Linked DNA regions of Caenorhabditis elegans. The protein of the gene in region 1 interacts with the protein of each later gene in a pairwise test. Each region holds a gene or a part of one and is shown in the gene's direction. Other genes may lie near its edges.

What was found.
Region 2: the proteins of mys-1 (region 1) and lsl-1 interact in a two-hybrid assay, tested with the Caenorhabditis elegans proteins (one large-scale study listed by BioGRID).
Region 3: the proteins of mys-1 (region 1) and mab-3 interact in a two-hybrid assay, tested with the Caenorhabditis elegans proteins (one large-scale study listed by BioGRID).
Region 4: the proteins of mys-1 (region 1) and mec-3 interact in a two-hybrid assay, tested with the Caenorhabditis elegans proteins (one large-scale study listed by BioGRID).

The regions. Positions count from the first base shown.
Region 1 is NC_003283.11:7,081,010-7,086,552, reverse strand, and holds mys-1 (Histone acetyltransferase Tip60 homolog), read left to right. Parts: upstream 1-1,890; 5' UTR 1,891-1,899; coding exon 1,900-2,038; intron 2,039-2,083; coding exon 2,084-2,261; intron 2,262-2,324; coding exon 2,325-2,670; intron 2,671-3,184; coding exon 3,185-3,880; intron 3,881-4,777; coding exon 4,778-4,795; 3' UTR 4,796-5,008; downstream 5,009-5,543. Other genes in the region: VC5.2 (Laminin EGF-like domain-containing protein), read right to left, coding at 99-521; npa-1 (Polyprotein allergen nematode domain-containing protein), read right to left, coding at 5,099-5,191. UniProt on the Caenorhabditis elegans protein: Probable catalytic subunit of the Tip60 chromatin-remodeling complex. Plays a role in acetylation of nucleosomal histone H4 and perhaps also H2A, probably acting as a component of the Tip60 histone acetyltransferase complex.
Region 2 is NC_003279.8:9,899,627-9,903,472, forward strand, and holds lsl-1 (C2H2-type domain-containing protein), read left to right. Parts: upstream 1-1,652; coding exon 1,653-1,718; intron 1,719-1,765; coding exon 1,766-1,850; intron 1,851-1,897; coding exon 1,898-2,138; intron 2,139-2,374; coding exon 2,375-2,641; intron 2,642-2,804; coding exon 2,805-2,913; intron 2,914-2,963; coding exon 2,964-3,062; intron 3,063-3,110; coding exon 3,111-3,200; 3' UTR 3,201-3,303; downstream 3,304-3,846. Other genes in the region: Mitogen-activated protein kinase kinase kinase mom-4, read right to left, coding at 253-332, 378-476, 580-746, 905-973.
Region 3 is NC_003280.10:9,730,649-9,738,253, forward strand, and holds mab-3 (Protein male abnormal 3), read left to right. Parts: upstream 1-1,582; 5' UTR 1,583-1,654; intron 1,655-2,763; 5' UTR 2,764-2,773; coding exon 2,774-2,916; intron 2,917-4,362; exon of another isoform or gene 4,363-4,363; coding exon 4,364-4,442; intron 4,443-5,120; coding exon 5,121-5,267; intron 5,268-5,636; coding exon 5,637-5,808; intron 5,809-6,313; coding exon 6,314-6,645; 3' UTR 6,646-7,387; downstream 7,388-7,605. UniProt on the Caenorhabditis elegans protein: Transcription factor which binds the DNA motif 5'-[CGA][TCA][TA]ACAATGT[AT][TGA]C-3', probably as a monomer.
Region 4 is NC_003282.8:10,458,300-10,463,801, reverse strand, and holds mec-3 (Mechanosensory protein 3), read left to right. Parts: upstream 1-1,934; 5' UTR 1,935-2,035; coding exon 2,036-2,113; intron 2,114-2,508; coding exon 2,509-2,559; intron 2,560-2,700; coding exon 2,701-2,816; intron 2,817-2,866; coding exon 2,867-2,939; intron 2,940-3,240; coding exon 3,241-3,492; intron 3,493-3,564; coding exon 3,565-3,678; intron 3,679-3,721; coding exon 3,722-3,935; intron 3,936-4,644; coding exon 4,645-4,712; 3' UTR 4,713-4,986; downstream 4,987-5,502. UniProt on the Caenorhabditis elegans protein: Transcription factor. Specifies differentiation of the set of six touch receptor neurons (TRNs).

The DNA.
Region 1 (5,543 bases):
TTTTTCATCCATTTCCCATAAAAAATATTATAAAACAACATAAGTTGTTATATAGAATTTTAATCGTTAAAATTAAAATTGAAACTTCAATAACTCACCCCTTTTTCCACGATATCCGGCCGTTTTGTTTTCTCCAAAAGCATATGCAACTGATAAATTTGCTCGTTATCAAGAAGGTCTCCAAGATCATTCTTTGTAGTTAAACTTTCAGATTTCACGAAATCATTAAATTGTTCAATATCATAAGAGCAAGAGTCAAGGCAGTCAATACTTTCCGGGTATATATCTGCAGCTAATTGTGTAGATGCTTCTCGAAATTCATCAAACTTTGAGTTCATTAAAAAATGATCTAACGTATTTGAAACTTTTTTATCTAGTTTTGATCTCCATAATGTGCACTGATCAAGACGATTTACCAAATTGAAGCGGAATGTAACAATATCCTTTTCAGATAAAGGTGAATGAATAAATTCAAATTGTGGGATTATTATAGTAACAATTAGTATAAAATATAGTGACATGATAGAGTATGGGTCAAACCGTCTTCTCTAATTGAAAATGGAAAATAGTAGAAGTAAACGGAGACGGCGGTAAACCTGAAACGACGATCAATTACTTTCTGTGATCGAAAGAGAAAAGAAATGACGAAAAAGATATATAGATTACAAAGAAGGTCGTATTCTTTCACGAGTGTTATGATAATCATAATGATCGGAAAATGGGAAGAAGAAGAAGGAAGAATAATAAGAAAAAGAGGAAAAATAAACGAGGAAGAGGCTCTCTTATCAATCTTGTTCGAACAGGTGTTTTGATGTGACGCGTTCAATCAGTTCAATGATTTTCAACTCTTCGTCTCTTCATCTCATCCTGTCACTTGTCGCTTTTTGATATTTGATTTTTTGTTTTCGGATTTTTTGTGTGCTTCGTAGTTGCTCCGATGATGCCGGATTCAACATTTGAATGTAACATTTGAATTTTGAAATTGAAGGAATTCATTTGAATCTAAAGCTTGCAGGGTCAAGACCGATACATTCTTGCAACACATGACTCGAAAGTATGTAGGAAAAATTGAAGTTGGAAACTTGGAATTTGATGAAAAAGTACAGTAATCCATTCTCTCTTATTTCGCAACTTTCTTCGATTTTTGATTTTTCCTAGATTTTTTAAGCTAAAATTTTGCTGTTTTATTTTCATTTTTCATGCTTTTCAATTTCGGTTTTCAACAAAATTATGTTTTTCAGAGAAAATCTCGTGAACAATAACTCGGCTACTGTACCATTTAAAGGCGCACACCTTTTCGCGCAGCATTGATTTAAATTTTTTTGTTCGTGGCTCAACAGTGCAATGGACATCTAGATATCTGAAATTTTACCACTGAATTCAGTTCATTTTTTAAGCATCTTCAAAAATTTGCGTTTTCCTAATTTTCTTGTGATCGTTTTTTTTTTGAAAGTACAATCGTACATTATAAATAACTATTTTTCAATTCGAATAATTTAATTCAAGATCATTTCGCAAAATAATTGCCTTGAAACGTTATGCCGCGGTCAATTTTCAACCACCCTTGTTATTCTTTTTTGAATTGCCGCCCTTTTTCCCTGTGGCCGGCGCAGTGCGGCCGAGGTTGGTTTCTAGGCCAGCCGGCGCGTTTTATTTTTTTCGAGCATGATTTCACAATTATTTCTTGCATTTTTAAAGTTTTTTATTGATAAAATAGTAAAACTAACAACGGATAATATTATTTTAAAATTAAAAAACTAGTTTGTTCATTTTTGGATCGATTTTTAGATGTTGTTCATGGATTATGCACGCAAGAAAGTACTATCGTTCACATTTGATTGCTATATTATTGAATATTGAATTTTTCACACAAAATTGTACTATTTCCAGATATTTATCATGACCGAGCCGAAGAAGGAGATTATAGAGGACGAAAATCATGGAATATCCAAGAAAATACCAACAGATCCCAGGCAATACGAGAAAGTTACAGAGGGATGCCGGTTATTGGTCATGATGGCTTCACAAGAAGAAGAAAGTTAGTTTTTACATCTATTTAAACACATTTTCCAATTATTTTCAGGATGGGCCGAAGTTATTTCAAGATGCCGAGCTGCAAATGGTTCAATTAAATTCTATGTCCATTATATCGATTGCAACCGAAGACTTGACGAATGGGTTCAGTCTGATAGGCTCAATTTAGCGTCGTGTGAGCTACCAAAAAAAGGAGGAAAGAAAGGAGCACACTTGCGGGAAGAAAAGTGAGAAATCTATAAACTTTTCAAAAGATTTTAAATAGTTTTATCAATTCATAATTATTTCAGTCGAGATTCGAATGAAAATGAAGGAAAGAAAAGCGGCCGAAAACGAAAGATTCCACTACTTCCGATGGATGATCTCAAGGCGGAATCCGTAGATCCATTACAAGCAATTTCAACGATGACCAGCGGATCTACTCCAAGTCTTCGAGGTTCCATGTCGATGGTCGGCCATAGTGAAGATGCAATGACAAGGATCCGAAATGTCGAATGCATTGAACTAGGAAGATCACGAATTCAGCCATGGTACTTTGCACCTTATCCACAACAATTGACAAGTTTGGATTGTATTTATATTTGCGAATTTTGTCTGAAATATCTAAAGTCGAAAACTTGTCTGAAACGGCACATGGTGAGTGTTTCGAGTTATAGAAAATGACCGAATATAAATAACTGTTTTCAAAATTCAAAAATTTTCAATTTTCCAAAAATGAAAGAATCGGTGAATTCGAAAAAATTCGAGTTCTTGTGTGTTTTTGGCTGAATTTTTCGGTTTTTCTTGCTTTTTCCGTTGATATTAGTTTTGAAACAATGTTTTTAAAATTTTCCGGCATCGAAAAAAATCGCAAATTCTGGGAATTTGCTCCAAAAATTGCATTTTTGAAATACTTTTTTGCGAAAACGAAAAAAAAATTCACAAACGGTGTTTCAAACCAAATTTATCGTAATCAAAAAAGTTTCGCAAATAGGCCATTATTCTGCGTGGGAATTCAAATTAAAATCAGCTACTTTTTCTATTTTGCAAAATGGAAAAAAAACGTAAAAAATAGACAAATTTTTAATTTTTTAAACAATTACATTCGGTCCATACTCTTCATTTTCTATCATTTAATTAAAATGCCCAATTCTAATTAATTTTATTTCAGGAAAAATGTGCAATGTGTCACCCACCTGGCAATCAAATCTACAGTCACGATAAACTTTCATTTTTTGAAATCGACGGCCGCAAAAACAAAAGCTATGCTCAGAATCTATGCCTGCTTGCCAAACTTTTTCTGGATCACAAGACTCTTTACTATGACACGGATCCATTTTTGTTCTATGTGCTAACCGAAGAAGACGAGAAGGGTCATCATATAGTTGGATACTTTTCAAAAGAAAAAGAATCAGCTGAAGAATATAATGTTGCGTGTATTCTTGTGTTACCTCCATTTCAAAAGAAAGGATACGGAAGTTTGCTCATCGAATTCAGCTATGAACTCTCGAAAATTGAACAGAAGACAGGATCACCCGAAAAACCACTATCAGATTTGGGACTTCTCTCATATCGATCGTACTGGTCAATGGCCATCATGAAAGAGCTTTTCGCATTCAAAAGACGACATCCAGGCGAAGATATCACAGTTCAGGACATTTCACAAAGTACATCGATTAAACGAGAAGATGTTGTGTCAACGTTACAGCAACTTGATCTATACAAATACTATAAGGGATCATACATAATTGTGATTAGTGATGAAAAGCGTCAAGTTTATGAGAAACGGATTGAGGCTGCGAAAAAGAAGACACGAATTAATCCAGCAGCTCTGCAATGGCGACCCAAAGAGTACGGAAAGAAAAGAGTGAGTTTTTTTCAATCAAAAATTCGTGTTTACGGCTAAAAACTGAAAATTAAAATTAAATTAAATTCGTGATAACATTTTTTTTTCAAAAAACCAAAAAAAAACAATTTCGTTTTTGGCAGAACCAAAAAAAAAATTTAAAAAAAAACGGTTTACGCCCTATTTCATACAAACAACAGAAATTGCACTTTTTTGAGCAAATTTGACCCTACAATTTTTTTCCAGTTTTTTGCTCTTTTTCAAAAAAAAACACCTAAACACTGGAAATACTAAATACTAAGGAAAAAAATGGAAATACTGGTTTACAGTGTCAAAAAATTGAAATTTTCTAATAAAATCATTTTTCTTTTTACTAAATTTATCAAAAATTTATAACTCAAATCTTTCAGTTTTTGCGAATTTTTTTTCGAAAAAACGAAAAAAAATAAACCTAATTTTAACCAAATTGTAATTTTGAAAAATCTGGAACGTCCGGAAAACTGAAAAATTAAAAAAAAAACTTTTCAGAAATTTATTTTTAAAAAACCGTTTTTTTAAATCAAATTTTGTATATGTTGATGAGAAAAAAAAATAGAAATCAATGTTTTTAAGTTTTAAAAGAAAAATTTATTTTAATTATTTTAGTTTTAATAAGGTATTTAAACAGTAACAAGGATGTCGGTTTTTCGATTTTCCGAAAAACTAAAAAATTGTCTTTTTCGATTTTTTAATCGAAAAAAAATAGAAATATTTTCACAAAACATACTATTCTTCTAAAAAAAAGAATAGTGGCAGATTTTAAATAATTTTTGAACTCTCGCAATTTTTTTCGAAATATCCAAAAATCGAAAAACCGGCACAAAAGCAAAAAGTCTCCGGGAATATATCTTTAAATTATTTTATGAACTTTTTTTTCAGGCGCAGATCATGTTCTAGCAACAACGACATGTGTTCTCGCCACGACGATCTCAACCTGTACATTAAAATATAACACTCCGTTTTATCTCGCATCTACACACCGAAAAGCTTACGCTATCCCTTTATCATTCCCACACCGCTCAGAGAGCGTACGCCTCATTTCATTTCATTTGTTCTGTGTAATAATTTGACTTATTAGTCACTTATTTTTTTAATGAAATTATTCTTGAATTTCATAATCTTCTTGTTGCAGTTCAAATAATTAAAATTCATCATATAGACAAGTAAGTTTATAACTGCAAAAGTGAAGTTTTCTAATCATTAAGCGTTCTGAAGATATTCGGCAACCGCCTGAGCGATCAGATCACGGCGGGAACGAGTTGAGGCGTAGACATGCTTGCAGCCAGTGACAACCTGAAAGATATTCAAAAAATTAATTTCAGGACTCGAATTTTTAACAATCTGAATAAAAAAATCCAAAATTGTATATTATAGAGTTTTTTGAAATCTAAGCGAAAGCGCGCTCCAATGTAAAACGAAAAGTGCTCCGCCCCTAAACGTTGGGTCCCGTTAGGAATTTGTTATTTTTTCGGTTATTTCTGACTATATTATAATTTCGAAACGACAAGTATTTTAAACATCATTTCGACATAAAAAATATGTAAAACAACAAAAAACAATCGAAAAAATAGTGAAAAAGTTTGAATTTACAGTCTCGCCGCCTCCTACCGAGACCTAACGTTAGGAGGCGGAGCGTTTTCCTTTG
Region 2 (3,846 bases), on another chromosome or scaffold:
TAGTGAAATTTTTTTTGCCAGATTTTTCGTGTTACAGCGTCCATATATTGATTTTTATTCAGTTTCTTCCATATTTTGCAGTATAATCCGCTTTTTTGATGTATTTTAATATATTTTTAGCTGATAGAAATTTCTGTTCCTATTGCCGAAAAAATGTAGTTTAATTCGCTAAGAAACACGGAATAAACCGACAAAATGTTAAAAAATTTGGCGAAATCGGGGATTTTCACTAAATTTAAATGAAAATCTCACAATCGGCCATGCTTCCACAATCCATATATTCCATAACGACTCCTTGCCCATTCCGAGGGCTTTTGTACAGTCCATAAATTCTGAAAAACTTCTATTTTCAGTATTTTCCATTTATAAAAACATACTTTATAATATTAGGATGATTTCTGAGATCCCACATAACTTTTGCTTCTCTTATAAGAGTTGCCATATGAAGTTGAGAAGAATATTTGATTGCTGCTGGCCTGAAAATAATATTTTGGTGATTTTATTGATTTTTTGTTAACTTTTGATAATTCCTCATGCTTTAAAAGAATTAAATTTAAATTTTTGAAGCTAGAAACGAACCTAAAGTCATCCTGCCTAGTTTTTCTATATCTTGTTTTCTCAACCAATCCATAAGTGCCTTTTCCGAGATAATGACTATTTAAATTATCAATACATTGTGCTTGAATTTCGGGAATATCAATTGTTGAGCACAATCCGGAATCTCGTGTTGTTCGTTGTGTTGGTGTCTGAATTTATTAATTTATTGAGTTTTCAGTGATTTTTATTGATAGTTTTGGTAAAAGCAGGCTTTATACGTCTTCAACTGATTTTTTTAAAAATTAAATACAATACTGTTTTTACAAGAAAACGTTATTTTTCTTTACTCAAAATCCATTAAACTTACAATTGCGGCAGGACTTGGCGAATGACTGGACGAACTACTAGACGGTTTGCTCTGTGACGAATTGTCCATTTCAGAGCCGAAACGGTGAAAAAAATGGTGATGGGCGGCAAAGGACAGGAACTGGCATGTGTTGTGTGTGTATACTCTTTCTCTCGCTCAGTGGAAACGATATAGTGCACAAGTAGAAGAAACTGCAGACGAATAACAAAATAGACCAACGGGACACAGACAGATTTCCGATTTAGACAAGGAAGAATGATGATTTTAAAGAAGTTACTGTAGCATGGCTGAAAATTGTTTTGATAAATACATAAAATTCAATTGCGCAGGTTTTACAGAAAATTCAAAATAAAGAATAATTGAATGTTTTAAGTTCTGAAAAGTAAAGAAATTACACAACGGGGAAGAAGTATGGAAATTTATTCAAATTATATTTGTATAAAAAATACAAAGATCGAAAATGTTCTAATTTTCTGTTCTTCTGTTCTAAACTAATTTTGTTAAATATATAAATAATGTTTTCAGCTTAATTCGAAATTGCAGAAACAATTCTTTGTTGGGGACACTGTGCTCAAAGGCGCATGACGCAACGAAACTTTTGGGTCTCACCACGAAACTGTCAAACACGGTAATCCTAAAATTTAGAGAAGCTGTCAATTAATTTATGAGTTTTGTTTGTCTTAATTTTATGTTTAAACCAACAAATTGTCTGCATTTTTTCTTCAAAAAATTTTATTTTTTACTTCAGATGTCAATTATTGATGACCGAACGGATCCATCTTACGACGGCGAGGACTACGAAGCTTCTATAACGGTATTTTATTTCGATTCTTATTTTTAAGATTATTGAAATGTTTCTAGTTCGGAACCTATCAACAAGAAGAAGTCGCCCCGTTTGCTGTTCATCAGTGTAATGTGTGTAATAAAATGTTTATGAATTATAAAGGTTATTCGCATAAAAATAGAAAGCTGAAATAAAAAAAAACATTTCAGGTCTCCAACAGCACTCTGTGATTCATACCGACACCAAACCATACATCTGCGATGTTTGTGGCCGAGGATTCCGATACAAATCGAATATGTTCGAGCATCGTACCGTTCACACCGGCTATACCCCTTATGTGTGTCCATTTTGTGGAAAACAGTTCCGATTGAAAGGAAACATGAAAAAGCACATGCGAACTCATGTGACAAGCAAAGAAGAGTTGGAAGCTGCTTATAGACCATATTCGAGGTTGGCAATCGGTCGACCCTTCACCTTCACAAATAGTTCGTGGTACGTATATTATACATTGGACGTACAATAAATATGTTATTCACATTGCATTGCACGAATTTTAAGAACTTCGTCCATTATATTATGTGAATAATACATTTATTGTACGTCCACCGTATAATACACGAACCACGAATTATATGTGTTGTACGAGGGGAATTCTGATATCTATCTCGTCTTAAAAATGATTTCAGCAATCGGCGTTCGTCTGGAATTATTCCGTCCGATGCTCTAGTCATTCGTGGGACATCGATGCCCTATTACAATCCAGAGAAGAAGCGATCGGTTCCGAAACTTTTATTGGGTAAAGATCCTTCAAAATGGGTTGATATGATCTGCCGAAACCAGCTTATCCCACTATCTTCATTTGACGATAAAATCATGAGAGCTACAATGCGATTGACTAACTGTCACATGGCATCCGATGTTCTAGAACAAGCTAAACCACTCGAGTTTGAGATGTAAGTTTCAATTCAATTTGAAATTACAGTACTCTTTAAAGGCGCACGCCCTTTTGTATTTTACAAAAAAAGAAGACGTGAAAAGACCAGCGTTTGTATTTTTACCGCAAATTATTATAATTATTGTCTTACTAATATCCCATGCAAAATCTGAAAATTACAGCTTTCGATGCCCAATTTGCAAGTGCGAATGTAGTGGAAGAGAGGATTGTCAACTGCATATGTATGCTTCTCATGATAAGAAAGAAGCTGAAGAACCAAATTATTGCACGGTAAATAATTGAAAATTAAATCTTGAATATCCTGTAAACTTTATTTTCAGAAATGCATGAGAGTATTCGCCGACGTAGATATGTATCGTCAACACCAAAGCTATCATTCTCGTGTTCAATTGATGATTCGTAATAATGAACTTGAAATGGTGAGTTGTTAAATATTGCTAATTCTTAATTGTATTATTTTGTTTCAGGGCTCTCCAGAAGTCGATATCTCTCAAATCTGCTACAGTATGATCACTAACACTGAAAATGAGATGAACATTCTAAAACCATCAGCATAGTTTTTCCCCTGAATTTTCCCCACATCCCTGTCTTTCTAACGCCCGTGTAATTGTTTTGTTCTGTTGCACTTGTTCCTTTCATTTTTATGAAGTTTTCATTTTGAAAATATGAATGGAAGACAAAATACAACAAACGTTGGATGATGGCAAAGTTTTTTAAGGAAGGAAGTAAAAAAGAAGCATAAAGGAGTTGGGAAATTCACAATTAAAGCACAACCAAAGCAGGACAAGGTGAAGAAAAAGACAATTTGGGGGAATGTTTGAATGGTAAAGCTGTGATAATGAGAGAAGATGATTTCTGATTTTAAGACATTTAATACACAGGGTTGGGGATATCAATGATACTTCTTTTAATTTGGAAAAACAACCAATTTCAGATTCTAGAATATAAATTACATTTATGAGACACACGTTTTGAATATCCCTCTCGCGGGGGAACAAAAAAAGATTTGAGGGAATCGGGAACACACAGAGAAAGAGCAGATGTTTTCGGAGAAAGCCGGGAAAAAAAAGTATGAAGAAGTGAGAGACGCAGACGAAAAGCAGTGCAGGTGGCTCATTAAAGAGGTAAACGAGTTGAGGTGGTGCATATTGATACTTTAAGATTATATGTTTGACGGATTTGAAGGTGTTTTGAAAACTAGAA
Region 3 (7,605 bases), on another chromosome or scaffold:
CGTTCACTCTCACACTTCAGCCGTTTTTTTCCTACGAGCGAAACAATCAGCGGGGCGGGTAGTGAGCGAGTTGAGACTGTCTAGACTCGATGTGGTGATCTCTTTGGAGTACAGAGAATGTTCAGAGTAAATACAGTCCATTCGGCAACATTTGAAAACAAGAATTTAGTCAAAATTTATCAGCAATTCCTTTAGAAAGTTGGTTCTCAAACCTAAAATTTTTTAACGACATTTATAAAGTGGAACTGGAAATATCTTTGGTTCGGGAAAATTTGAGAAATTTAAATTACTGAAACTTTAAAAGTCATATTGAAAATTGTTATCCATTGCAGGTCAATAATTTTTGACTGAAACTTCAAATCTTGGTAATTGAAAAACGGTTTGACTAAATAGTGAGTCACTAGAACTTTGACAGTTGGTAAGACAGTTTTCAACAAAACTATTACTTTTCAAAGTTTTTGGTAGCTTCTCTCGAAAACATTCCTAATATATTTTCAGGTCCAAATCAACCTTTACCAAAAATGTTTCCTCTGTAATTTTCTTGTCAATCCCACTTTGTTTCTACCGCTTCTTCTCCTTTCCATTTCGAGGACACAGTCGAGATCAAATGTGTGCGTTGAAACTGCCAATTTTCATTCTCTCTCTGCTAACTGAACACAAGACCTGAAGGTGCTCATTAGGCGAAATTGAGAAATATTGGATTACTGTAGGCTTAGATATGTAATCAATCTGAAACTGGTGACGCGGGTGTTCAGAAAAAAAATTGTGGTTGGGTTGGGGGGTTAAGATTCAAATGAAGAAATGAAAAAAGCTAGTAAAAGCTGAAAGAAAGTACTTAGCTTATGAATATTAATTAGGTCACATGGGAGCAGTTATGAATTTCCAGTCCTAATTTTTTCTACAGCCCGGTGCCGGGATCTTGGCCCTATGGACTGAAAAAAAGCTCAAGAATTGTATTTTTCCTCGAAAAAAAAATATAATTAAGCTTTCTATATAGGCTCCAAGGTTCCAACTTGTGGATCCATAATTCTAGACATAGTTTCAATTTCCTTTAAAGCAAGGTAGGTCACATTCCAGGAATGTTTAATAGTTTTCTAAAATACAGAAAAGTCTAGAAAAGCCTACCCAACGAATGATAATAAAAGTTCGAACAAAACCTATAAAAATTGAGTTACAGGAAATAAAATAAAAAACTAAAAGTTTGCAATTTTCTCTCGTCTCTTCTCTTTCCATGATCACACGTACTTACAGGTGTCCCCAAAAAACGCAGAGATCACACGATTCGCGGAGTGTCAGCCAGAGAAAAAATATGTCGTCGCGAGAACTGATAGCGGTGTCCCCCTCCACCGCCATAGTCTCGGGGCGCCGCTCCCTCCCGATATATGTTTGTCTGGCGTCTCTTACCAGGTTTTCTCACGTTCGGCGTTCTCTAATTATCGTCGTGTGAGGTCTTCTATCCAATCGCGGGTGGCATCAGTCGCCAAAAAAGAGGCGGCGCTTCGTCGCCGCGACTCTTTCTTGCTGGGACCCGCCCCGTTTCACAGGAGGGGAGTGCCTATTACTCCCTCTTTTCCTTTTCTTTTCGATATTTGAATGCTATCGGTGCTCTAGGAGCTCGATCTTGACCCCTTGTTGGAGGAAATTGTACTTTTGGGTAGGTGCTTCCAGTCGATTCAGAATAATTTTTTGGGGTTTTTGAAAACAGTAAAATTATGTGAAAATGTTTCCATCTTTGCGTCTACAATTTGTGGCTGACTTTCCTAACAGTCTACTCTTTGAAATTTTTGAGAAAATGGCTTAACAAAAACTTGAACATTTGATCTGATGTACATTGTAGAAATACTGTAGCTCCTGACTTGTCTGTTTGTCTTGGTTTTAGTCTCTACAAAAAATTATTTCTTGATAAAAACCTCTAATTGATTAAAAATTGAACCTTTTGTAACACGATCAAATGTTGCCAGTTGCAATTAATCGATTTTTGTGATTTTATAAAGTTTGCAGTTAGGTTTGAAAAACTTCAAACGTATTTTATTTAGAAATTTATTTGCTCTTTTTTTCCTTCAAGTCAAATAAGCAATACGGTTCTGTAAATTAATAAAACTTTGTTGCCATTAAATATTGAAATTCCATGTATATCCGTTCTGAAAAATTCTTTATAAGAAAAAATTTCAAACTGGTTTTTAACATTTTTAACTATTGCAGGTTTAAAAACATACAGTAGCCCAACTTTATTCCACATTTAAAGTCACAGAATGAGCCCAACGTTGAATTGAACATTTAGATTATAAAAACGTATTTTATATATGTTTGAGCTATCTGTAATTTTTGAAGAAAAAAAAACTGGTTTCAAAGCTCTCTAAATTTTCTGTTTTAAATTCTCAAAATTCTTAACATTATAGGAAAAGAAAATTTTTTTACTTTACTTTGAAAATTTTTTTAATCCGAAAGATATACACTGGAAACTAGAAAAGATACAGTATTACAAAAAAAATTCGCATTACCAGCTGCTCCTTTAAAAAATTGAAAATTTGTTCCGATGCAAAGAACAATATTTTTGGCGAAAAAATGTTCTTTCTCACAAAAATCAGTCTTGAAAATTTGACTTTTCCACGACATTTTCAAAATTTCGTAATTATTTTATAAGTCAAGATTAGAGTATAGCAGTTTCATATAATGCTTATAGATCCCTCTTTTTAATTCCCTAATTAAAAATAAAAATTTCAACAAAAACAACTAAATTCATAATCTGAAAAAATTTTGCAGAGGAGCTCTAATGCTCACCGAGGATCCCGTATCGGAGATTTGTGAGGCGAAAGCAGTCGATGAGCTCGCCGAGCAAGAAAAAAATTATTATTGTCAGAGATGTTTAAATCATGGGGAGTTGAAGCCAAGGAAAGGTCACAAGCCGGATTGTAGGTGAGCAATGGTTTTTTTTGCATTTTTAAACTACATTTCATCTGAAAACTATTTTGTCATTCCATGTTTCTCCCTCATTCACCCTTAATTATATACATCACGTTTTAATGCTTAAACTCTTGAATTTTTTGATAATTTTGGGTCTTGCAACGATAAAAAGTTAACAACTGTTTAATGAACTTTTTGTAACTTTTGTTGTGCCGAAAAAGTATGTAGTTTATCCATAAATACTCCAAATTCCAAATTTTATCTCAAAATTGTCGCGTCACCGACCTTATTCACCCACCATCAGTTTTTTTTTTCGCGAAGCCCTCCGACAAAGACACCCGTAAAATTTGAGATGTTCGTCTACCGATTACGATCGGGCAAGAAAAGACGCAAAGCAAGAAAAAACAGCTGACCTTGTCGATTTAAAGCGAAAAATACCACCCATACAGGTGAAATTGTTATTATATGAGTGAGGGGGGTCAAAAACGAATTATTATATGGACGCGAAAAACGGAGGAGAAGAATGGGAAAATGCAAAGAGGCAAAAAGTTATGTTTTATACATTAACCTAAACCATTTTGAAGGTGGTCTAGGGATACTGTAGATGTTTCACCAAGGTGAAAGATGACTCAAAAAGATCTTGCAATGACGACAATTATCACTAAGCTAAATTGAAGATGGATTAGCGAAATCTGGGAAACATTTTAAAATGACTACAAGAGTTTTTTGAATACCTATGTGAAATTTTTTTAATTCCCTGATTTCGCTACTACACATTTAATAATATGTATATCAAGGTGTGTTACTCTTTTTAGGTTTTTTTAAACGCTCGTTTAAAGAATTTGTACTTCTCTGGTTTAAATATCCAAAACTCGCCCGAAACGACCGAATTTCATTATTAGGCTTTACAAAAATAATATCTATCCGGTTAAAAATTAAAAAAAAAACTAGTGAAATTCTGCCAGCTTCTTCTTCGGTCGATCATTTTTTCCAATGTTTAGATAAATTCAAAAAAGCGCTTCTTTTTTTTCGAGATATGTTTGGGAAGTTACATCATGAATTTTGGTTGTTTGGGATCAGTTTGAGACAATTCAAGCAACTAAAAATTTTTCAGCCTTTTTTATTATTTTTTTTGGAACCGAAAATTATTAAAAAATTATGTTTGCTTTTCATTCAAAAATCTTCATTCATTTTTTGACATCCAATCACACAGATACACTCACTTTTCAAACAAACCATTCCACAATGACCTATACAGTCGTAAAATTCCTCACCCAATTTTTTTTTTCTCCCAATTTTTTCAGTTCATATAATTTTTAACAAAAGATAGGGCCTATCTCTATTGTGAAAAGTCTAATAAAATATTTGAATGGGTGGGCGGGTTACTGTACAACTACAAAATTCTCCCGTCGATGACACCAAGTGGCACTGAAAAATAAACAAGACGAACATTTTACAGATATCTAAAATGTCCATGTCGAGAATGCACGATGGTCGAGCAGCGAAGACAGTTGAACAATTTGCTAAGCAAAAAGAAGGTGAGTATTCTATAGGGATTCTATGGTAGGTGTGGCTGTAGGTGGCTGTGCCTTACCTCATTCCTGTCTGCCTACATTTCTGTTTCGCGGTGTAGGCGGTCTTGAAGGTTGTATGTGCGTTCTCACGCACTTAAATACCACATCTTATCAGTTCACCAAAAAATCGCAACTTCAGATCAAATCTGACATTTTCAAAATGAAAAGTGGGTTGACGTCTTGGCTTTTTTCTCTTTTTGTAAGAAAAACAATTGAAGATACGAATAGATAGAGTGTGAAAAGCAAAGAAAAAGTGAGAAAAAGATTGATTTTATCGGATTTTTTTAAGGGTAGGTATATTTTTCATGAAGTTGTTCTTTTTCAAAAGGGGCTCTTGTTGTGGCAAGTCACATATAGGTCATTGCCTGGCCATCTATAGGCGTACCTACCTTATTGTTTTATTTCAGTTATTTGTTGAAAGTGTATTTTTAAATGAGAAAAATGCTCACTTTGGACCATGGGTATGCGTGTAGGTATGAGGCAATTGTAGGCTGCATTGACTGCAAGCATTCTTGAGCCTACTGAAAGTTTATACCGAATTTCTTGGTTATTGTTTTTGTGATTGCATTAACTCCTATAATATTACTGTGAAAATAAAACACTTTTTAGCGGGACCCCTTATAAACCTTTCCAAATTTCCAGATCCACTGCACACCGGCAACTCAAACCCGTGATGGGAAGCGTGTCCGTGACCCACACTGTGCTCGGTGCTCGGCTCACGGAGTCCTAGTCCCATTGCGGGGACACAAGCGGACAATGTGCCAATTTGTGACATGCGAGTGTACATTGGTAAGTGTAATTATACTGTCATCATCGGCAGTCAGGCGCCCTTGACAACATTGCAGTTTTTATGCTTTTCAATGTCACCTGCGCGAAGAAATTATAGGATTATAAAAGTACTGTAGGGAAATGGGGGAGTGGCTTGCCAATGAGATTTGAGAATGTGACTTTTTGAAACATTTTGATAAGTTTCAACTATTTCGAAGTATTTTTAATGCAACAGTGCTACGAATTGACTTTTTAAAAATTGTTGTGGAGCAGGCAACTTGGAGCATGCTCTTGGACTGACAGAGAAAGTTGCCACATTAATTTGTGTGAGATTTTTGAAAACGCGTAAACAGAACTACGATTTTCGAGTTTAAAAATATTATTTTTCAGTGTACTCTTGTGGAACACCGTCGAAATCTTATGGCGGCTCAAATCAAATTACGCAGATCACAACAGAAATCCCGAGATGGTAAAGAACCAAAAAGGAACTCTCGTAGAAAATCGAAAGATATGGATATGGAGATGATGGTTGTCACAGCTACAGATGGTCAAAAGATAATTGGTAAGCTATGGGATTTTGTAGAAGTGTGTAAATTGAGCTTTAAGTCAGAATCACAAAAATTGGAGTCTAAACCTGAAATCCAGTCGGAAGTAATTCTAGAGTTGACGGTACGTATTAACGTTATCAGAAACATAGATTTTACCATCAACTCATAGATTATATAAAATGGCTACTTGTTATTTCCAATTTTTCGTACCGAAACAATCAAATACGGGAATATCCAAACGCATCAATAAACAATTACGAAAGTTAAGAGGTTAATTTCAAATATGTCTAGAATCTCAAATTGGTACAACTTCTCAGTTATAGAATATGTCTTTCTGCTTACCTATCAGGCGGGCCCTGCCCTGAAAGTTACTTTGCCTTAAAGATAATTACCACTTAAGCCAATGTATTTTCAAAATTCAGGGGAAGACAAAAAAGTGGTAATTTTGATGCAAATATCAACGCAGACAGTTAAAATTTATATTGTAGCTTCAAAGAAATTAAATCTATAATATTCCAGGAACATCAGCAAGTCCATCTCCATCCTCAACCACTGATACAATGTCCCCATCCCTTTCAATGTCTCCACCATGCTCTCCATCTCCACTTCTGGCTCAATACACTCTGACGCTGGCTGCTCCGATTCCAATCTATCCGCCGATCCCAATGAATCAACAATTGATAAGCTTGCAACAACAACAGTTCCTGATGAGCATTATTCAAAATATGGCTCCATCAATCGGACAACAGGCTCCACTCCTTCCAGGCATTTCTGCAGGTTCTGTCTCATCGGCAGCAATTTTGAATGAGTTCTGGAGTATGTATCTGAAAAATTATGGTCTGCAAGCCTAAGATCTATAATTTTGACCAATTATTGATTTTTAGAAAAATTGTATGTTTCCCTTCTTTGCTTAATTTTCCACACAATCTCTTTTTATCTTTGGTTTCAAACTCAATGATTTTTTCATATTTTCTTGAATTTTCACTTTTTACCAATTTTGTTATATTTTCTAATTTTTTCATTCATTTTTCACCAAGTGAACCAACCAATTTACCGATTTTTTTCTCGTCTTCAAGACCGCTTGTGTTATTCCAAAAATCCCCATTTTTTTTAAATTCAAATAATCTTTTCGTCTCTCACCAAACCACATACTATCTTTCTATGTCTCTTCGCCACCTAATCATGTCATCAATTTCTTCGAAAATTCCCAAATTTCACCGATATTCTTCCGTTTGCATCGATTTCCCACTGTCCCCGCCCAAATTGAGCTGAGCTCCGCCCACACTTTCCCAGGATTACTGTATTGTTTCTCGCTCTGCGTCTCTCATTCTCGTTCCCTCTCTCTTTGTTTTATCTCGGAAAATAGGATCAAATCCTAAACAGTTAACCGGTCCGTTTTAGACACCCCCGGTGGTAATAATTTTGAAAAAAAGTGAAATCATGTTTTTTAATGTTTTGGTTTTAAAAAACCAAACATTTTTTGGAGAGAAAAATGTATAGAACTTCCAAACATACAAACACACGACGCATCGAGTCTAATAATTATTGATTTATTTTTATTATTTTTGATTTTTCAATAAACTTTTCATTTTTAAATCGTCTTGGTTCTGTATGCAAACTTGATCGTACAGCAATTTCCAGAAAAAAAGTTGGCGGCCGAGCTTTCTCTTCCGCGGCCATGTAGAAACCCATAGACAAGGTCTTAGCACGAATGAAACTTTTCCGTTACCGTACCATAGGGTATTTCCCAATTTCTCCTGTTTCAGAAAACATATTTTTTTTAAATTTAAACTTTCGTTGCTTCTGAGTTT
Region 4 (5,502 bases), on another chromosome or scaffold:
GTAGATTTGGGTAGATCTTCAGTTTATATGATCTTCGATTGTGCTATTTTCGGATTTTTATGGATAAAAATTACATCTTAAAACTCTCGGAATAAACTATCAAAATGAGGAGCGATGTGTTTTTTTTTAATTTTGCCCTGCAGGTACCCGGAGTAGTTGGCGAAGATAGAAATGGTGTTATCTTATATAAATTCAGACTTTCTCTGTTAAAATTTTAACCACCAAAAAATATAGAATTTATAAAAAGTTTCATTTTGAAATTTTATCTTTTGGGGCCATTTCACTACCTTATCAGGAAGAAATGTGTTTCATCAGAAATTGAATTTTTCATCTTTTCAGAAAGTGTACCTAATACCGTATCATGCTCATATTCACGTGAATAAGGCTTCTGCCCAGTTCTGTGATTCAAGGAAAACTACGAAAAATGATCTCATTTTCTTTGATTTATCACCGAGCTGGTGTGTCATCACACACAGTCTGTTTCTTGATAAAAACGCGCAGAAGTTAGAGCATTCATTGTGATTTTGGGTCTTTAATTTCTGTAAAACAAATAAAGTGACAAGTTTATCATCTGCCTATTTTATCAGTTATATGCATGGTTAGTTGCAAATAAGGGAGTAGAAATTGACTAAAACTCAAAATGAGCACTGAAACGAGGGGTTTTGTTAGTTGCGAAATAACAATTAATACAATCTGGTTGATTACTTTGTAAAAGGATAATAAAATATGCAAAACTTGGCGTATTCTGAGATTTCATTCCTAAAGACATTTATCAAAACAAATGTTTTCTGCAATTTTCTAAATTCTTGGAATTCTGCCCAGCAGCCTCTAATATCGCGTTTTACTTAGAAAATGACTTTTGGTTTCATTTTCTCATTTTCTGGCTTCTATTTTTCACAAATGCAAATATTTACATTTAAATTAGTACTTTCATTTCTACAAAGATCAAATTTAACATTATTGACAGGTTTACTGTTATCTTGTGACAGTTCCGTACTGTCAATCAAAACGAAAATTAAAACTCATGAAATATCAATGAACATAAATTGAAAAAAAAACCCAGTTGAAAGGAGAAAATAAGCGAAACACACCAACAACTGAGTAGTTACGCTCACAATTTGGAAATGATTTTGAAAACTCTCTGGACTGCATTTCAATTTTTAACAAACAATGAATACATACTGATAGTTTTTGTACTTCTCGGCATTCAGAGGCAACTTCCTGCCAACAACCTGGCAACTTATTTAGTGCCACTAAAATAAGTTGCCAAATTGTTGGCAGGAAGTTGCCTCCAAATGCCGAGTTGGAGCAAATGATTCGATATGATTTTAAGGATACCTACGCATGCCTCCTGCCAAGACACGCACCCACCTACTGAAATGTCGCGGAATTTTACCTCCCAAACTATAGATTGGGTGAAACTTCACTGTAAAAGCTTTTTTTAAGTAGTAGGCTGGCAGTAATGAAGACGTCCATACCATAATTTTTAATGTTGTATAGAAAATCTGAATTCTCAAGTATAACATTTTCCAATAATTAGCATAGTCAGAAACTCTCCACCGCCGTTCCGTTCCTTTTTTTTGTAACTATGGAGTAATAGAACAAGATTATTCAAATTCAAATTTTTATAAAACTTTACAACGTCCTTTCCATATATTCTTCACACAACATTTGAAAAAACAACAAATTCATTCGAAATGCATTGCCCATAATGAATCGACCGAAAAACACAAGTGACCGTCAGGAGATCGATAGAGAGAGCCCGTTCCAACTAGACAACTTTTTAGTGCTTATCCTTACACACACTTTCTAGCTTCATAAGAAATGCATCTATTATCGTCACCATTTGGAGACACCAGTTTTAGCGCACATTAATAATCGATCAGGGTCTAGAGACTCCTGTTGGATTGGCATGCCACGCCTACATGACATCTGGCTCTTGACGGGTGATTTGTTACAGTGAGTAGCCACAATTTCGCGCATTTTCTTCTAAATTTCACTGTTATTTGTTCTTCTGATTTATTTCATTTGAACTATGGAAATGTTAGAGTCAAAGCCTCTCAGTGCGATTAGTATGGTTATTGATTCAATTGGAGTTGATCATGAAAATCAGGTGAGTAATTAAACTTGAGCAGTTGTGAATTTCATCAGAAAACAATTTTTCTTTAAAAAAATTTAAAAGTAACAATTTGAGAGTCAGAAAAATGAAATTAACATCAATCGAAAACTTACATTGCATTTGCTTGAAAGTTTTTACAAAGACTTCTGCGTGTCAAGAAATTCCAATTTGAAATTTATACAAAATCCGCACGAGGGAAAATTTCTGTTCGACTTTCAGAGAGTCAAGTAAAATTACCGCATCTTCTAAAAATTCTGAAAGTTAGATTCTGAAAGTCAATCGTGTAAACTTTTGGTTGGTATTCATTCTATTTTCCAATCTCATTTTATCGATACGATCTCTAGTGAAACTTGTGTCTAACATTCTATAATTTTTTTAAATATTTCTAGAACAAATGTAATTGCTGCAATGAGCAAATTTATGATCGTTATATTTATCGAGTAAGTTTGCTGATGTTTGTGGATTTTTCAAACTTTCTTTGCTTTGCTTCTGTAAACAGTCTGCTCAAAATCTTGAATATTTTTCTTTTGCTTCTATAGTTCGAACAACATTTCAAGATTTCAGCCATCATTTATTTTCAGATGGACAATCGATCGTATCACGAAAATTGTGTCAAATGTACAATATGTGAGTCTCCTCTGGCCGAAAAGTGTTTTTGGAAAAATGGGAGAATTTATTGTAGTCAACATTATTATAAGTAAGCTTTAGCAAAATATTCTTGGAATTAATAAAAATACATTATTTCAGGGATCACAGTATTCATCGGTGTGCGGGTTGCAAGAAAGGAGTGTCACCGACAGATATGGTATATAAACTGAAGGTATTAAATTGGGTCAGAATGTTTAAGAAAACATTAAACTTTGAGCGAACCTATACAAAAAGTTGTCAACTTTTTATCAATTAAATTTTTGACTACTTTTGTATAAACAGTAGGAATGCCCGAAAGATTTCAAAAAGCCTACAATTTCAAATTAAAAAAAAAACCAAAGCTTTGACTAATAGTTTTGAAAGATGTAATCATTTTTTACGCTTTGCTCTTTGCTCTGACGGGATCCTGCTAGACGCACAAGCATAGAGCTTGGGGCTTTGATCGGTAAAGTTTGACTCAAAGAACTTTACAGGCTGGGCTCGTGTTCCATGTGGAATGTCATTGTTGCTCTTTGTGTGGACGGCATTTATCACCGGGGGAACAAATTCTTGTTGACGATACAATGATGACCGTATCCTGTATGTCACATTATCCTCCTCAAATGGATGACAACGCACCTGGAGCAATAGGATCTGCAGTTGATATACCATCTTGTTCGACAGAAAATCCAATTGCCCCATATCCAATTGATGAATCTTTTTCATCAGCTTTCCAAGTTAAAAAGGTATACTTTATTTTTCGTTGAAAGTTTAAAGGGATTAAATACCGAATAATGTACTGCATATTTAATTTTTAGGAGGTTGACGCTTATGGATACAACTTTGAGCATTATAGCTTTTCCGATTTCTGTGATGATGATTCACGAATGCTAAAAAGACGCGGACCTAGAACGACAATCAAACAAAATCAGGTATACAATGTAAGAAAGCGGAAATTTTCATAATGATTTTCAGTTGGACGTGCTGAATGAAATGTTCTCGAATACACCAAAGCCGTCGAAACATGCTCGAGCCAAATTGGCATTGGAGACCGGTTTAAGCATGAGAGTAATTCAGGTTTGGTTCCAAAACCGGAGAAGTAAGGAACGGAGGCTCAAACATTTGTGCAATTACTTGAGACATTATGAGCAACGTGGGCTCATTCCTCCGCCAATTCATTTTAGAAATGGTTAGTTTAAAGATTCAATCTGGAAAACGCAGTAATAGCTCTGAAATTTCAAAAAATAGATAGTGACTAGTAAACATTTTAACAAGTTGTTTTGTTGCATAAACATTAAGTTTGACACTAAAACTTTTCAAATCGGACTTTGTTCATAACTCAGATCCGAAATCTCTAAGCAAATAATTTATATAGATGAAAAAAAACTACCTTCTTTCGTGGCGATAAGTGCCTGTTTCGTGCCTACACATATGCCTACCTACTGTCTTAAAGCATGCGTAAATCTATTCCGTTCACTGAAATTCCGGCTATAACTGAAAACTCCATTAAAACTCCATAAAACAGGCAATAGATAGGCGCTTAGGCAGGGAAACATGTCTCACGTTTCTCTAATTTTCTGTATTTAAAGTTTCTCAATCATTCATTTTTGATTGTTCAAATCTATTTTCATAGAATTTTTTCTTCGAATTTCATGATGTTTAATTATTGAGTAGTTTCCCTATAATTATATATAACGCGTTTCCAATTATTGTCTGTTGTCTTGTTCGAAAATCTAAGCAACACTGATGTGGCAGTACACCAGAATACGCACAGAAAGCAAAAATCCAGAAAAGTTTGAGTTGCCACGTCATAAATCACAAACCAAATGGCTTGGCTCTTTCGAACTTTTTGCTGCTCTTGCATTCTTGTTTTTTTTTATTCTCTTTTTTCATTTCAGAAGAAATGGACACAACTGACTTCAACGCGTTTTGCGGAAATTTCGAAGAGGAAGATGATGAAGATTGATGAAGATTTTTTTAATTTTTAAAACAATATATTCCATTTATATATATATATTTCATAATGTATTTTCCTTCCCAAATCTTGAATTTCATTACATGTTTGCCAAAACTTGTGTTCTGAACTTGTTCAAATATTCACGTTTGCGCGAATAAGTAATTGAATGTCAGTCGATAATCTGATCTCAATGATTCCATTTTTAATTGTCCATGAATCATAAAATCACGAAATCTTAAAAATTCTCACACTTTGTCTCGATTCAAAAATAATCCTAAATGCTACGTTTTTGTGTTGGGTTTGTTGGTTTAAAAACGAGAAAATTTTCAATTATTCCGTCACCTTGATTGAAATAAGATTTGTTTTCCTCGTAAAAGAAAACGGTTCAACTAGCTGGTTTTCAAAAGATTTTCGAACCCTTGTAAAAGACTTATGTAACTCTATAATTAATGTTTCCGTCAAAGAATTGTGTAAATTGTATAAAAATAGTTTTAAAAATTAATGGAGGAAACTTCTTGAAAATTCAGCATTAAAATATAGTAGGTGTGTTTTTTTGTCAACGCCTTCGTGATACCTATTCCAATAACTAAATAGGTTTTTGCTACGGGTTGTAGTTCCTCGGAAAAAGAAACAATTTAATTTACTGAGCTAAGTGAACTATTTCCTCGCAACTTCCACACTTTTTCTTTCCTTCCCCAGAACGAGAAAATATTAGTTTTACCTGTAATTACTAGCTTATTTTCCAACATCTAAAACCAGCCCCCTTGAAGTACAATTAGCCAATGACGCACACGTTTGA